Linked DNA regions of Astyanax mexicanus. The protein of the gene in region 1 interacts with the protein of each later gene in a pairwise test. Links are inferred from orthologs where the notes say so. Each region holds a gene or a part of one and is shown in the gene's direction. Other genes may lie near its edges.

Region 1 (8,229 bases):
AAGCAGCTGAAATTGCACTCAGTTAATGACAGAGGGACCTAAAATAATCAAAATACTTTAATATTTTTTAGTTTTGATTTTTAATTGACCATTGTCACACTTCCATACTTGTTGATGTGAAAGCATCCTTTTATCAATGCTGGAGGCTATTCTGACATGTTAGCTGTGCTGCTAAGTGAAGGCTAAATAAAAACGTGAGTGCTCTGTGAAAACGGTTTATTGTTTTGAATCATATTTATATGACCTCAGACAACACAGAAATTATATTTTTTACTTTTTCAGTTTTTTTATGTTTTCATGTTTTATTTCCTGCCATGCATGCATCTATATTATCATACAATAATGTTATGGCACATTATCAACTGCATGAGAGGATAGACAATGAAAGGATTATATAGGGTCACTTTTGTTATATATAAGTTATATATATATATAACTTTTGTAATAACTGACTGACATTATGATATTGTGCTTTATTTTGACTCTTGAAACTTTTCATATTTTGTCACCTTACAACCACAAACTTAAATTTATTTTATTGAGATTTTAAGTGATAGAGCAACACAAATTATCTGATAAAAACTGTCATTTTTCCCAGCATGCAATCACACTGGACCTTTTAGGACCCTGCTGATCATGTGACACTACAGGGCTCGAGCTCTCTGAGCTTCTGATTGCCCACACCTAGTTCTTTTAGTGTATAAACCCTTTGTTTTTTTTAGTAGCTCCTCGCTGGGTATTGAATTACCTTTATCTTTTGGATTTCCTGTGTATGACCCTTTGCTACTGTATTAACTGTGTTAGCAATACTATCCAGTACTTGGACATGTAAATGGACTTTTTAATCACACTATAGATTGTTAAGGGGGGCCTAACCTGTTTTGGTTGTCCTCCACCAGCTGGTGGGTGCTGTGGAGTTCAGCGTCCAGCCGATCCTTGTCTCTGTTAAGGGTGTCCAGCTGGGCCTGCAGGGTGCTGATATAATTCTTCATCATGGGCTCCAACCTGGAGTCCTTGCGCGTCTCACCATTCAGCAACTTCCACTTTGTCTCCAATAACTTATTCTGCTGCTCCAGGTGGCGCACCTGAGAGAAAGAGAGATATGATAAAAGATGAGAGATGTTAACAGATAGTGTGAAGCTCCTGGTTGACCTTTTTTTTCTCTGATGTGATGATTAGAGACACCTTGGTGAGGATGCTTTTGTTATTAATCATTAAAAGTTAAAATAATGTCAGTTACAGGTCATTTATAACATAAATAAGCTGAAAACGAGCTGTTTAAATAAAATTTTAATTTCCCTCCATCCATGACCAGCAATAACTAAATAAAATACATTAAAGCAACCATCTATAGTTAAAATGAGAAGACATTGCAATATCGTCTGTTAGTTACTTACTTAAATCAGCCATAACATTAAAACCACCATATTGTGTAGATCCCTCTCATCCACTAAGTTGGATTTTACAAGACCTTTAAATGTGTCCTGTAGTATCAAGACAAGACATTAGTAGCACATCCTAAAAGTCCTATATCAATATTTACTAGAGCCACCATTCGCTGCAATTATAACAGTAAGTGCTTTGGGGTTTGTCTCTACCAGTTTTGCGCATCTAGAGACTAGAGATTTTTGCCCATTCTTCTTTATAAAACAGCTCAAGCTTAGCCAGGTTTGATGGAGAACGTCTTGAAAATTGATTACTGATTACTGATCTGTTCAGCAGAAAAAAGTCTACAACCCATACTAAACAGTATATAGTACTAAAATACTGGCTGAAACTCTGCTGACATAAGCTGTTGGTGCTTAAACTCAGCATGTTTCCTTAATTTCTGATGATACATCCTGATCTACATTCTGATCATGTTATGAATCACTATAAAAATATAATCCTTAATAGTCTTTTAAGTATACAGGGTAAAACACACTTGGCTAGCTCTCTCACCTTGTCGATGTAGGAGGCGAACTGGTTGTTGAGTGTTTTGATCTGCTCCTTCTCCTGCAGTCTGACCGCATGCAGGTCAGGGTCCAGGTCCAGCTGCATGGGGGTCAGCAGGTTCCTGTCCACAGTTACGGCCCTAACAGGCAGGCTCTGCGCTGGAGCATCCCCAAAGCCAAAATATGAGGTTCCAGTGCGGGGAATGGTCGCTCCAGCCCGGGGATACGAGCCCAGAGAACTGCTGCTGAAGCTCCGCACACTGGACCTGCTGCTGCTGACCCGACTACTCATGACTGCAGAGCTGAGGAAGACTGTTGAGGACTGTAGAGTATGGTGGAGTGTGATAATTGGAGGTGTGTGGAGTCCTGGACTGACAACATATATATACTTAGCCGGGGTGTGTGTGTGTGTGTGTTTTTGTGTGTGTGTGTGTGTTTGGAGGTATGCACATTCTTCAGATGGAAAAACAAGTTTAACAACTGATAGCAGAGCTCAGCTCACACACATACTGTACATTCATGTATTCATCAGGGATGCATGCTTACACACATGAACACACACACACCCACACCCACACACTGTGTGTCTGGGAACTCTTCCAGTCCTGATGTAATCTCAGTAGTAGAGACTGCTGATGTCAGAGTTCTGTACCAGTGTTGTGAGCTGGCATGTTTTGGTTCACAGGTATCTGATGATCTACTGATGCTGCCGTCTGCTATTCGAAGAACCTGCCTAATATACTTAGAGTACTCATATTAAATATTTAGCTTCCTGTCTGTTTTCTCTAATAGATTTCCAGGATTTCCAATAAAGTTTGAACTGATAACCGCAACCCCAACACTCCCACCCTCAGCTCAAATTTAAAAAAGGCAAAAAAAAAGGGGAGGAATAGTTTGGGAGGGTCCCTCCTGCCTCGCCTCTAAACCCATACATCACCCTCGTCTCTAAACCCATACATCACCCAGTGGGCGAGGCGAGGCAGCTCTCAGGAGGGAGAGCTGATTGGCTCTGTGTTTGGTTGGGCATCAACAGGGGGGGCAGTACTATTGATTGATTAAATAATCTGCCTATTGTGATGTGTGCGCGTACCAAAGTATACGGACACATCATTCTCGCCTATAATAGCACAGTTGAACCTGAGGGGGCGCTGCAGAGGCAGAAATGATCACAATAAAAGTTTTATAGTTTTTATAGTTTAGGTTAGGAAAAGTTAGGAAATAAAAATTTGTAAGCAGGACTGGAATGAACACATTGAACAAATGAACACATTTTGTCCATTAACCAAAAACATATTGTTTAAAGTTTAATGGTTCTTTAAAGCTGCTGTCAGTTTCGAGAAATCTGTCAGGTCAGATGTTTCTGCTAATTTGCTGTCCAGACCTGTCCAACCACCTCTGAGCCACCTGCACGCTCTGATCTTCTCCTGTTGTGCCAAAAACTTCACCTACAATACCAGTCAAAAGTTTGGACACACCTCTTCTCATTCAATGTGTTTTGTATTTTTTTCTTTGTGATTTTAATATTGAAGACTATATTAAAGCTAGTATTGAAGTATTGTTTTAAACCAGAATATGTCTTATACATTTAGCCTTGGTGACAGATTTACACACTCTTTTTAATATATTTTAATCTCAGTGTCTTTTTGAGATAGAATCACCTGGAATGGTTTTCTTGAAGGAGTTCCTGGAGGTGCTGAACAATAGTTGCTAGCTCTTTTTTAGAGGGGCACAAGCACCCCTAAACCAGGTCCCAGTCCCACCACCTCTAAACATGACGGTACAAAGTTATTGGTTTTTAGCTCTGAAATTAGATCATGAAACATATTTTAAGAAAGAAATACAGCAATCTTCCCCTCGCCCTGCGAATATATTTTTATTTTTCTGTATTAAGTCTATTATCTCTTTATTATAACACAATATCACGCAGTATTGACAATAAAACTACTTGACATGATTTGATCAAGAGGCCCAGTGCGCTTCATGCTGTATTAGGATATGATTGATGATTGTACGCTCCCTGCTGGTCACTTAAGAGAACTGCAAGTGTCTTTTACTACAAGTCAGAAAAGGGGTTAGTTTTATTCAGACAGTCTTAATAATATTTTACTCAAACAGTATGAGAAAAACAAAAAAACTGTGCTAATTGGGCTTCAAAACAAAAAAAAATCCTCTTTTTAAACTTAATCACCTTTATTTTTTACTTATTTTTATTTTTTTTAATTTTTTACTTTTTATTTCTTGCGTCCACCCTGTAATAAATAACATCAATATGCTACTTCTCTGCTAATTTAGAAATTGTGTCACTAGGAATTTAGCTAACTTTTTTGCTAGTTTAAAGATTTTGTCACTAGATTTAGCAACTATTTGTTGGTAGATTGAGTGAGAAGCATTTAAAGTATTATTTTGAAAAAGTGAATAAAAATTATATTAACTGATGTGTATATGTTACGTGTATAAACACGTAAGTTTGTCATACTTTTGCAATCCTGCCTAATTATTGAATTAATATAGGTTTAATTTTTTTTATTAATATAAAAAGGTTTTCGGGAGTTAAGGGGAGGTTTGGGTTTTTTAATATATATTTTAATATATTTTATATAAAATTCGTCACTAGATTTAGCATCTTTTATGCAAATTTAGAGGTTTTGTTGCTAGATTTTGTAGCGATATTTATGCTAATTTAGAGAGAAGCGTTGAAAGTATTACTTTTTAAAAAGTAAATAAAAAATAAATCGCCTTAATTCAACTAACGTGTACTGCCTAATGAATCTATAAATATAAGTTTAAAATCTCATTATTCTCATTATTAAATCTCATTATTTTTTGCGGCTTCTAACGGAATAGACTGGTAAGCGACTTTATGTAACACTTAAGGGAGTACTTAGTAAAGTTCAATTTTTAAAAGAAGATTTAAAGGGTTATTTCCTAGAACAATTTTAAGGAATATTAGGGGAAAAATCAATTAACTTTTTTTTATATTAACTTACTGGGCGCAGACCTGCAGTACCACCTTCCTCCGGAGGGGGCGGCAGAGGGTCTCAGCCTGTGGGGAAACTCTATGGTGGCGGAGGACTGTTGTTTACGTCTGAGAGAAATTTCGTCAAAACAGCGGAGCGCAGTGACAGCGAGCAGCAGGGCCTCCAGAGCCGCGACCCAGCCGAGTTTTCTTCACTAACCCGCCGCCCAGCGCCTGCTCTCCGCCCCGTCCTCCAGGCAGGCCGGTTCAATGCCTTTCAGAGCCGCTTTATCGCCGCTATGGACGCAAACGATCTGTTTTCGAGCTGCAGGAAGGGCGACGTTGCGAGAGTGAGGTCTGTACTCCGGGCTAAACTTCTGCAGCCGCTATTTAAACTAAATATATAGATATATATCAGTATTTTTATCATCCCTGACTCTGGTATTGTAGTTGTTATTTTAGTGAGGGCATTATATAAACTGGTAACAGTGTTAATACATGTTCAGGAGGTTAGTTCAGGGAGTTAATTATGGTGCAGAGTAGCACATACTGTACACTCCGTTAGTAAACAAACTTAACCCTTTAAAAGTAAGTAACGTTAGGTAGCTAAAGTTTCTTTTTTTTTTTAATCAAATAAAAAACCTTTGGAATATAATCAAGAGGAAGATGGATGATCACAAGGCATCAAACCAAGATTAACTGCTTGAATTTGTGCAACATGAGTAAAGCAGCATAAAGTTATCCAAAAGCAGTGTGTAAGACTGATGGAGGAGAACATGATCCCAAGATGCATGAAAAAAAAACTGTGATTATAAACCACCAGGGTTATTCCACCAAATATTGATTTCTGATATCCTAAAACTTTATGAATATAAACTTGTTGTCTTTGCATTATTTAAGGTCTGAAAGCTCTGCATCTTTTTTTTTTAGACATTTCTTATTTTCTGCAAATAAATGCTCTAACTGACAATATTTTTCTTTGAAATTTTGGAAAAAAGTTGTCCATAGTTTATAGAATAAAATCAGAGAAGCTAATTCAGGAACTGAAGTGGTCTCGTTATGTTTCCAGAGTTGTTATTGATTTTTGAAACTTGCATAAACGTGCATCATAAGTGTGATAATACATTACTACTAATTCTTAACTTTTTTTTTTTTTTGAAAACAAACAGCACAATTTAAAGTGATGCGCAAGCTGTTTTTCCTTTACATTTAATAAAAAAATAGTAAGCAGCCCCCTTTAACCTTACATGCAGTTTTTATATTAAACGCAGTGCAAACATAACCTTTATGTACTTCAGTTAAGGAAAAGTTTAAAGTATGAAAATCACTGTCACATAAAAGAGTGTTTTACAAGTTTCTGACAGATGCATATGTGAAGCATATGAAGCATTGGATGTGTTCAATTCCATCAGCAGCTAATCTAATTTAACATCATTATACACTGATTTATCAAACCAGGGGTTTTATATTATGAGAACTATAAACAATACTAGACTCAGATGCAGACTGTGATACTGTTAGCAATACGATACTGGCAATTTTTTAAATAAATAATTATTTAAACTGTTATGTAGGAAAAACATCAATATTATGTGTGTAAAATCTGCATATCCTATCAAAAGAATGGGATACTGTATACCACTGCTTTCTAATGGTTGGGATTGAAACACAAAAAGATCAATAATTTTTTCGTTCAGATTGTTAAATATTGCAAAACATTATATTATATATAACACACTTTTTCTGAAACCCCTATGGTAAACATTGTTAAAGTTATGATGATGATTATTAAATTTTCACCATTGTTTTAATTGGATATTAGGGTAAATAGTACAGTGCAGTAAAATGTGGTGAACATGATCCCTTTAAAACATTATTATGTCATTTAATTTTTTGTTTATGTTATTAATATTAATTCCTAATATAAATATAAAAAAATATATCTCATTTACGTTGTATAAACGTTGTATCTCCATTTTTGTGGTTATATATTTATAGTTAAATATTGTATCAAAATTTCATGATGAATGGACCAATAGAAATATTTAAAAATGACTTGGAATATAATTTGTGACTTAACTTGTGCTTTGACTTTCATTGAAAGTGAATTAGGATTTTTTATCTACTGTGAAATTTGCGTTGTTTTTTTTTTCATAACAGTGATGTATTTCTTGTAATATATATATATATATATATATATATATATATATATAATTATATTATATAATATATATATTTATTTATTGCCTAATTAATGTTCTCTCTCGTTCTTTTTCTCTCTCTTTCTTGCTCAGATACCTGGTTGAACAGAGAGATGTGGAATTGAACGTGAGAGATAAATGGGACAGTACACCTCTGTGAGTCAGAATTGATTCCTCTGTATTAAATGTATTTTGATTTCCGTGTAGCTGCTGTGGACTCAGCTGAATGTGCCTTGTGTCTTGGTGTGAATGAAGGTACTATGCGTGCCTCTGCGGACACGAGGAGTTGGTGCAGTATCTACTGGCCAACGGTAAATATCCATTACACTGTAATTGTGCTGTTTTTATATTTGTAGTTTGTAGTTAGACTGTTGTAGAGTTACAAAGTATAAAATGTGTGTTTTTGGTGATTCATGTAAATAAATGTTTTTAGTTCTATTTGTTTACTAATTTTAATTTTGAAATGTTTATCATTAATAGTGGCTATTAATGTATTCTCTTTTGTAATTATACATTCAAAAATCTAAAGTGTGTTATTACTGAAAAACACTGTCTATTTCATCAGTTGCTGGAATTTTATAGTAGAGAATTGAAGTATATTCATGTGCCAAAAGTCCTGGGACAGCAACCTGTATTATTATTCACTAGCAGATGAGATGGCTCACCAAACCGTCACTGACCATCAGTAAAATCAGTAAAAAATCTGGAGGAAGAGTGGAGAGACAAACAGTTCAAGCTGCTTGAGGTCTAGTGTGAAGTTTCCACCAATCAGTGATGGTTTGGATAAAGAGACATGTCTGTCATCTGCTGGTGTTGATCCACTGTGTTTTATTATCAAGTCTAAAGTCAGTGCAGTTTTGTTTTCCCACAAAATCTTACAACAGCACTTCATATCTTACAGCTTCCCTCTGCTACTGACAACTTTTATAGAGATGTGGATTTCATTTTCCAGCAGGACTTGGCACACTGCCCACACTGCTAAAAGTACTAATTGGTCTTACATAATATTCTAATTTTCTGAGACGCTGATTTTTGGGTTTTCATTGACTGTAAGCCATAATCATCAACAATAAAAGAAGAGTTTCATATTTCAACCGAATTACTGAAATAAAGTAAAAATTTATTGAGATGCACTAGT
Region 2 (7,380 bases), on another chromosome or scaffold:
AACACATCTAATGATAACTCCTCCAATTCAAGCCCACACAAACCCATAAAAGTAATGTCAGGATTTGGACCAAACATTTATTTGGACCAGAAATTGATCTTTTCTTATTTTGTTATATGCCAGGTTATTGCAACAATCTGTAATCATCTTAAAGCTTGGGAAGTAAATGCCTGTTGTTCAGTTTTCTCCTACGTGTCTAATGTGAAGAAAAGGATGAGCAGCTTCATATTGCTTGTGTAGGCCTGTGTATTTATGAATTTGGAAAAGAAATTAAACTTAAAAGCATATTCCACCAAAGTAATGATAAATCGTGAATTTAACCTCTTTAGATTTGTAATACACTAAATAATTATATAGCATATTGTGGAAATTGGCAGTGCTAAAACTGTATAACTCTGTAACAGTTTTTAAAAGTTTAAGAGGTTTTAAGAATCTGCTGCTAGTGACACAATTAGTTTGTGTCAAAATATTGTGATGAATCCCATGTATCGTGAAACTGTTTTTAAATATCATGATACAGTATTCTTACCATATCACCCAACCCTACGTGGTTGGAGGAGTCTTTCACAAATCAAAATGTTCTGGTGGAGTATTCTTTCTAAGTAAAATGTACATTATTTCCCTTAAATTCAAAACGTATCTAAAATGTCACTGTCTTTCTTTCTCCCTCTCCTTCTTTTTGTCCCTCTCCGTTTCTGATTTATCAGGCAGCAATTCCTCAGTAAAGACAGAGCGCTCGGGCAGCGGGCGAGAGAAAGAGAGAGACAGGGAGAGGGGGGCCTCGGGTGAGTCGGGTGGAGGATCGAAGGAGGCCACAGGCGAGAAAAGGAAGAGGAGCCGGGCCACGGACAAAACGCAGAGCTCCGGCAACCCGTCCAGTCCTGGAGGAACCAAGCGCCGCAGGACGTAAACACGGCCAACAACGGGCGACCTGCAGACTGGTGGCACATGGAGACTCTGGCTGGATGAGACTGGAAGAAACGGTGTACTCTGGCCTGATCTGCTGCTCAGCTAAGGTTAAAGAGGAAAGATCTGAGGAGATATTGTTAGATGTTCCAGCATTTAAGCTTAGAGCTGAAGCTCACACTGATGAGAGGAAGCTCTAGTACTTCACATGTGTTGAGCGTTTTCTAGAAGAAATCTAGAAAAAAAAGTTTAAGTAATTGATGAGCAGTGGGAACTTGCTTCCATGATGTTGCTCATATGGAAGGTTAGAGGCAGACGATAATTGATTCTTTTTTTTATTTTTTATTATATTTTTTTTTAACGTAGTTTGTTGTTGGACTCATTGAGACTTACCTGAAAATGTCTTTTGATTGAACTGCTGCAGTACGAAGATGTGGGGAAGAATTGCTTTGTTGGAAACAGTTAAATACAGGGTCTATGATGGTATCATCATCATTGGTCAGATAGGGATGAATTCTTAGTACATAAAGAAATGCAGCCTCTGTTTGAGGAATCATACCTAGTGGTCATTTATGTCCGTCATACAGTAAAGCTAGTATTTTTATTTTCCCATCTGTGACGGTTCAAATTCAAAAGTCAAATTCATTGGTAATAAAGATGTTACATTACATGTTAAGGTGAAATGTGATTTTACAACCATAATGTTTTACTGTATTTATTTACTGCTCTTGTTTTAAAAGGTGCAAAGCCTTTTATTAAATCAGACTGTACTTAAGTATCAGCGTGAGTTATGTTGTGTTTTGGAAGAAAGATATGGGTGCAGAGGCTTTTTGATGGGTGCTGGTGCAGATCCAGGCGATTCACTGATCTGTAACCTAAAGACACTGAGTGTTTTTACATGCATGTTCAATAATAGGTTACTGAAGTTAAAATCGAATTATTGAAGTAGTCATATAAACAGTATACTTTAATTTCTTAGAACTGAGGTCTTAGAGTCTGAGTCTGATGCTATCATCTGTTAAAGAGAGCTGGATTTTTGCTCAGCAATTGTATTTTTCAGTGCATGTAAACTTGTGGTACCAGAAATAAGCCAGCAGCTTTAAAACATCTCCAGTGAGATGACGACAAAACACATTTGCGCAATGCTGAACCCAAACAGATTTCAATATTCTTAATCTTCTATCTATTGTATGTTTTTATGATAAAGATTTACATGATGTTTATCACCTGTTATTTTGTAAATTTGAGTTGATTGCAAAGCAAAAATCTAATTATGGCTTTACTTTTTTTAAACTAATGAATTTTAACAGTATCTGTTACAGTAACTGTTAACAGTAACTTTATGTAAACACTGATCATAATAATTGAATTATAAAGTGCATGTAAACGCACTCACTGTCTACAGTATGCTTGTGTAATGGTACACAAAATTCATGGATTAGTTTGTACCATGGTTTAGTTTGTACCACAGGTTGGACCTCATTGTTCCGTACAAGCTCAGTACAAAGAAAAAAATAAAATATAGTCTAGGTTTCTAGTTTCTTATCATGTTAGTTCTTATGAAGTTAGTTCTGCCTAGTGCTATATAGTCTGGCTTGAGGTAGTCAGTCTGTCAGCCTGTACTGTATTAATTTAGCAGTAAAAAATGGATTAAGGATGTTTAATGTCTTTCCACACACACACACACACACTGTCCAGCATCACAATTACTTCCTCCTTGGCTGATCCATCATAATGTCAAATTAGATGGTAAAAGGTCAGAATGTCGCAGAGAAAGGTGAGGAATAAGCAGGTTAAAATACCAAATAAATCCTTCTGTGCACACAGCAAGTGTATAGAAAAATACAGTTACAATAGCAATGCTCCTAAATCCACTACAGTTCCCATAATCCCATGCATTGCATCTTTATGTTGACGTTTGGCTTGTGCACCCCCATTGCATGGTGGTTTGGTACCAAGACACATACCATTACAACCCTATTGCTCTAAAAATTAAGGTGACATGAAGACCTTCAAAGGACCTGCAAAGTTTTGAGTGTTTGACATTTCTGGGCGGGTTGCCCCAACAGGGATTAAGCTGCATAACCTTTTGTATATTCCATTTTGAATGGAGATTTTCTTTCGTAAACACAATGTTCTAAAACTAGGCTTATTCCCCAAGTCGCTGACTCATTAATTCATTCATAAATTGGCCCAAATTGTTCCAAATACTGAGTTGCCTCCCTAAGATGCTTTACCAGGCCTTTCTGTTGCCTTTTGGGTGGATCTTTCTGTCTTTAATTTAATAAACTTGATCAACTTAAAAGAATGACTGCACTGTGTGTTGAGGCATTATCTGTCTGTACTATAAATTGACCTTCCTGTCAGTGCCGGTTCTACACCAACATCTGTGGTGTGCTGGTGTATGTTGTTCTAATGTAGTATATGTTGGATTAGACACTGCAGTGCTGCTTTTTTTTACTGTCCACTCTATTGGATATCGCTACCCAGCTACTGTTTCCGGTTGGTGGACTAATTTCATTCCAGAAGTGAAGAGTTTAAAAACTCCAGCAGCACTGCTGTGTCCGATCCACTCATGCCTGCAGCACAACACTGCAAAGCTGCCTGAAGGATGACCCACCAGGGTGAAAGAAGTATAACACTGAATGCAGAGAAACAAATGGGCTGTAGTAAACAGCAGACTTCAGCTGACAAGACTGACAAAGATCGTAGAAACAATGTCATAATATTCTACTTGGACTGTGTATACAGCTCAGGAAAAAAATAAGAGACCACGTAAAAATGATGAGTTGATTTTACCAAATTAAAAACCTCTGGAATATAATCAAGCGGAAGACGGATGATCTGTCTGAGTTTTTGGACTAGGAGTGGCAGAAAGTTATCCAAAAGCAGTGTGTAAGACTGGTGGAGGAGAACATTGCAAGATGCATGCAAACTGTGATTAAAATCAAGGGTTATTCCACCAAATATTGATTTCTGAACTCTTAAAACTTTATGAATGTGAACTTGTTTTCTTTGCATTGTTTGAGGACTGAAAGCTCTGCACCTTTTTATGTTATTTCAGCCATTTCTCATTTTTTGCAAATGAATGCTCTAAATGACAATATTTGTATTTGTAACTGATTGATTCAGACACGTAGTGCTCTTTTGCTTTTTCCAGCGCTCTGTATTTATATATAAAAACTTGAAATGCTTAATTCTATTCTATTGTGTCAGCCAGATTTCCACAGATGTGAGGAACTCACAGTATTATGATTTAGTCCTGATGATTATGATTACACATGTTCTAAATCTCAAGGGAATCTTTAGGAATGTGCTGAGTCACTCAGGCTTGCAGTGTGATGCTGGAGTTTTCTCCCATCCTTTTCTTCCCTTTCTCCTAACTTTCATCCCAGCATACATCCCCCACCCACCTCTCTGTTTGGTTTCTCTTGCTGCCTTTGCAGATCCCCTGCTTCAGCATCTCTCTCGTCTCCCTCTGTCTCTCTCTCTCTTCTGTCTCCCCCTCCTACCCTCCTCCCTCCCCACATAAAGTGCCGCATTGCTGTATCAAAGTGGGGTGCGTTCACTACGCAGACAGATTTAGAGCCTGCCACCCCCCCTGTGTTGGAGTGCTAAGGAAGAAAGAGGGTGTTCAGAGGGAACACGCTGTGCTGCCTGAACACACAGCTACAGCAGGTAAGACCCCAAAGACATCTATCTGTCTGTTTATGTTTATGCTTCTGTTTACACTGCAGTCAGAATTCATTATAGGTAGTTTCTCCGGCCTTTCTCTGAGTGTTTGTTTGTTTATTTTTTTTCTTCTTCTATATTTTTTTTAATATCTATTCATTTATCACATTTCCTTTATGTAAACGTTTAGATACAGTTTATTAATCTGCTTTAATCTTGTTTTATAATGAATCTGCAATGCTGTTTATTCTGTCTGTGAAGAGCAGGGGAACCCTGGGTGGGAACATTCTCTCTTCTTTCCCTCTGTGTTCTGTTCATCATGGGGAAGGAAAAGATCCACATTAATATTGTTGTGATTGGCCATGTGGACTCTGGGAAGTCCACCACCACCGGTCACCTCATCTATAAGTGTGGAGGCATTGACAAGAGAACCATCGAGAAATTTGAGAAGGAGGCTGCAGAGGTACAGACAGATATTAACTTTCCAGAAGCTTCTATGTTTACTGTGGTAGCCCTACTAAGTTTTCAGGCTTGGAGATGAAAACTGAAAGTAATGAATATAGAAAGAAAACAATAGGTTGTGTATTTGAACTGGCATTCCTGGTTTGAAAAAAAATAGTCAACCAGTGTTTTCATGGGCATGTTTGTGCTGGTTTGTGATACATAGGAACACTGTGTATATAGTCTGTATTATTTAACTCCAGACCACTCCCTGGTTTGGCATGCAATTTGTGCTTTAAAAAGTTTCTGAGTGTCTACCTGTAAAAAATGATTTATAGGATGATCTATTACATGTTTCAGTTAACATGTTTCTGTACAGGCAAGAGCAAAACAAAATATATACAAAATATCCAAAGAATGCCATTACTAATAAAAAGAAGTCAGTTATAATATATATGATTGGATTTTCAGGCAGACAGAGTGTCGTAAAACTGACTTAAAAACTTAAAAAGTTTAAATCCTTGTTTTGTGGGGTGTTTTAATAGTATGTCATACCTTTATGCATTTATTCGTTTATAGAAGACAGTCATACATACACAAGATTATATTATTTACATCCCATATAGTTCATAGGATACTCAAATACTCTTAATTAGACATGTACATTTCAGAATTTAGATATGTATTAATTTGACCATGTTTTGATTTATTTGAAATTATATTGCTTTCTAAATGTCCTTTTATCAACATTTTGTTAAAACACTGTTTTTTTAATCAATCAGAAATTGATAATCTGGAGTGTTTTTGTAGCTGTAAATAAAATCATTTCTATGGTAAATTATTTGTATTGATTAGATCAAAAAAGGGTATTTATCACAAAGTTCTTCATATGTAAAAGGTTCTTGAAAGTAGTCAAAATGGAAAAAAAAAACTTATTATTTGATTGTGTATTCATTAGTACATTATTAGGATGTTAGAATTAGTTTTCCAGAGGAGAATTAAACCTAATTCTGGATTAATCAGGGATCAAATTCTTCAGGATTTTTTTTGAGAAACCAGACGAGTTCATACTGGTAAAATCTGTTCATCTATTAAAAAAACAACAACAAAAAAACAAACCTAAAATGTATAGAAGTTCAATGACGATTTTGGCTGAATGATAAAATCACAAGTACAGCCATTAGAATTTAACATTTTTCCTTGATCAAGTTGAATATATGATATAAAAAAAAAAAACTAAAATTAATGTTAAAATGGAAATCTCAAACATATAAAGCTTTTAAAATGACGGATGATGCTCAGCATTACATTAATACAGATATGCTAAACAAATGTTTACTACTGTAGAATGATATTTGTTTCTTTAAACTTTCTCTTCTTGTCACTGTTGCACAAAAACCTTTTATCATAGGATTTTCATAATATAATAGAAATGCTTATTGAATTTAAACTTTCCAATTTTTTGTCTGCTGTCCAGATGGGGAAAGGATCCTTTAAGTATGCCTGGGTATTGGACAAGCTAAAGGCAGAGCGAGAGAGAGGCATCACCATAGACATCTCTCTCTGGAAATTTGAGACTTCTAAATACTACATTACCATCATAGATGCTCCAGGTCACAGAGATTTTATCAAGAACATGATCACAGGGACTTCCCAGGTAAAGCTGCATCACATATCGATATTTTCCAGGCAAAGGCTGAAACATCAGGCCTTGGACATATTAGTGTTATAGGTCAGTGTCTGCTGAAAGGCCCCTTTGTCTCCAGTTCTGCAGATATATACTGTAAATAAAGCTGTATTTAATCTGCTGTCTGCAGTCATTTAGCAGCTGAACTTACTTGCAGGAGAACACTAACAGCTGTTCTGTAATGTCAGCTAACAGATGCCTGCACTTGCGTTTAGCTGAATGATGGATGGAGAGACAGCAAAGCCAATTTTTCTTTTTTGGACTCTCTTGGCTGGATGGTTGTGGTATGACCAAGGATTGAACTTGCAATCTCATTGCAAATTCACTGCTGGAGCAGCATTAGCATTACCTGCTAACTGTGCTAAGCACTAGCTCTATCGCCTTTCAGAGGTAGTATTATCAGCCTGTAGCCTGCTCCAGATAGCATTAACATTACCCACTAACTGAGCTAAGCGCTAATTAGCTCTTTCGTGTTTTAGAGGTAAGTATTTCGGACCGTAGCCTGCTGCTAACCCCGGCTAGAACTGCCAGAGCAACATTAGCATTACTTGCTAACCACGCTAAGCGCTAGTTAGCTGTTTCTGTGTTCAGAGCATTGTGATAAATTGTGTACTCCTAAGATGCTTTTCAATTTATGGTCCTGTGTCAAGGCACAAGTACTTGTTTTTATCATG

The links.
Region 2: the proteins of abtb1 (region 1) and eef1a2 interact in binary tests that used the Homo sapiens proteins (3 or more experiments, as listed by UniProt). The two-hybrid records come from large-scale screens. The link is inferred for Astyanax mexicanus from reciprocal best matches to the Homo sapiens genes ABTB1 and EEF1A2.

Annotation. Positions count from the first base shown.
Region 1 is NC_064419.1:3,833,404-3,841,632, forward strand, and holds the start of abtb1 (ankyrin repeat and BTB/POZ domain-containing protein 1), read left to right. Parts: upstream 1-4,977; 5' UTR 4,978-5,189; coding exon 5,190-5,245; intron 5,246-7,184; coding exon 7,185-7,247; intron 7,248-7,346; coding exon 7,347-7,402; intron 7,403-8,229. Other genes in the region: si:dkey-222n6.2 (keratin, type II cytoskeletal cochleal), read right to left, coding at 877-1,085, 1,942-2,226. UniProt on the Homo sapiens protein: May act as a mediator of the PTEN growth-suppressive signaling pathway. May play a role in developmental processes.
Region 2 is NC_064420.1:29,049,145-29,056,524, forward strand, and holds the start of eef1a2 (elongation factor 1-alpha 2), read left to right. Parts: upstream 1-4,323; 5' UTR 4,324-4,584; intron 4,585-4,839; exon of another isoform or gene 4,840-4,844; 5' UTR 4,845-4,897; coding exon 4,898-5,041; intron 5,042-6,496; coding exon 6,497-6,676; intron 6,677-7,380. Other genes in the region: MRG/MORF4L-binding protein, read left to right, coding at 708-910. UniProt on the Homo sapiens protein: Translation elongation factor that catalyzes the GTP-dependent binding of aminoacyl-tRNA (aa-tRNA) to the A-site of ribosomes during the elongation phase of protein synthesis.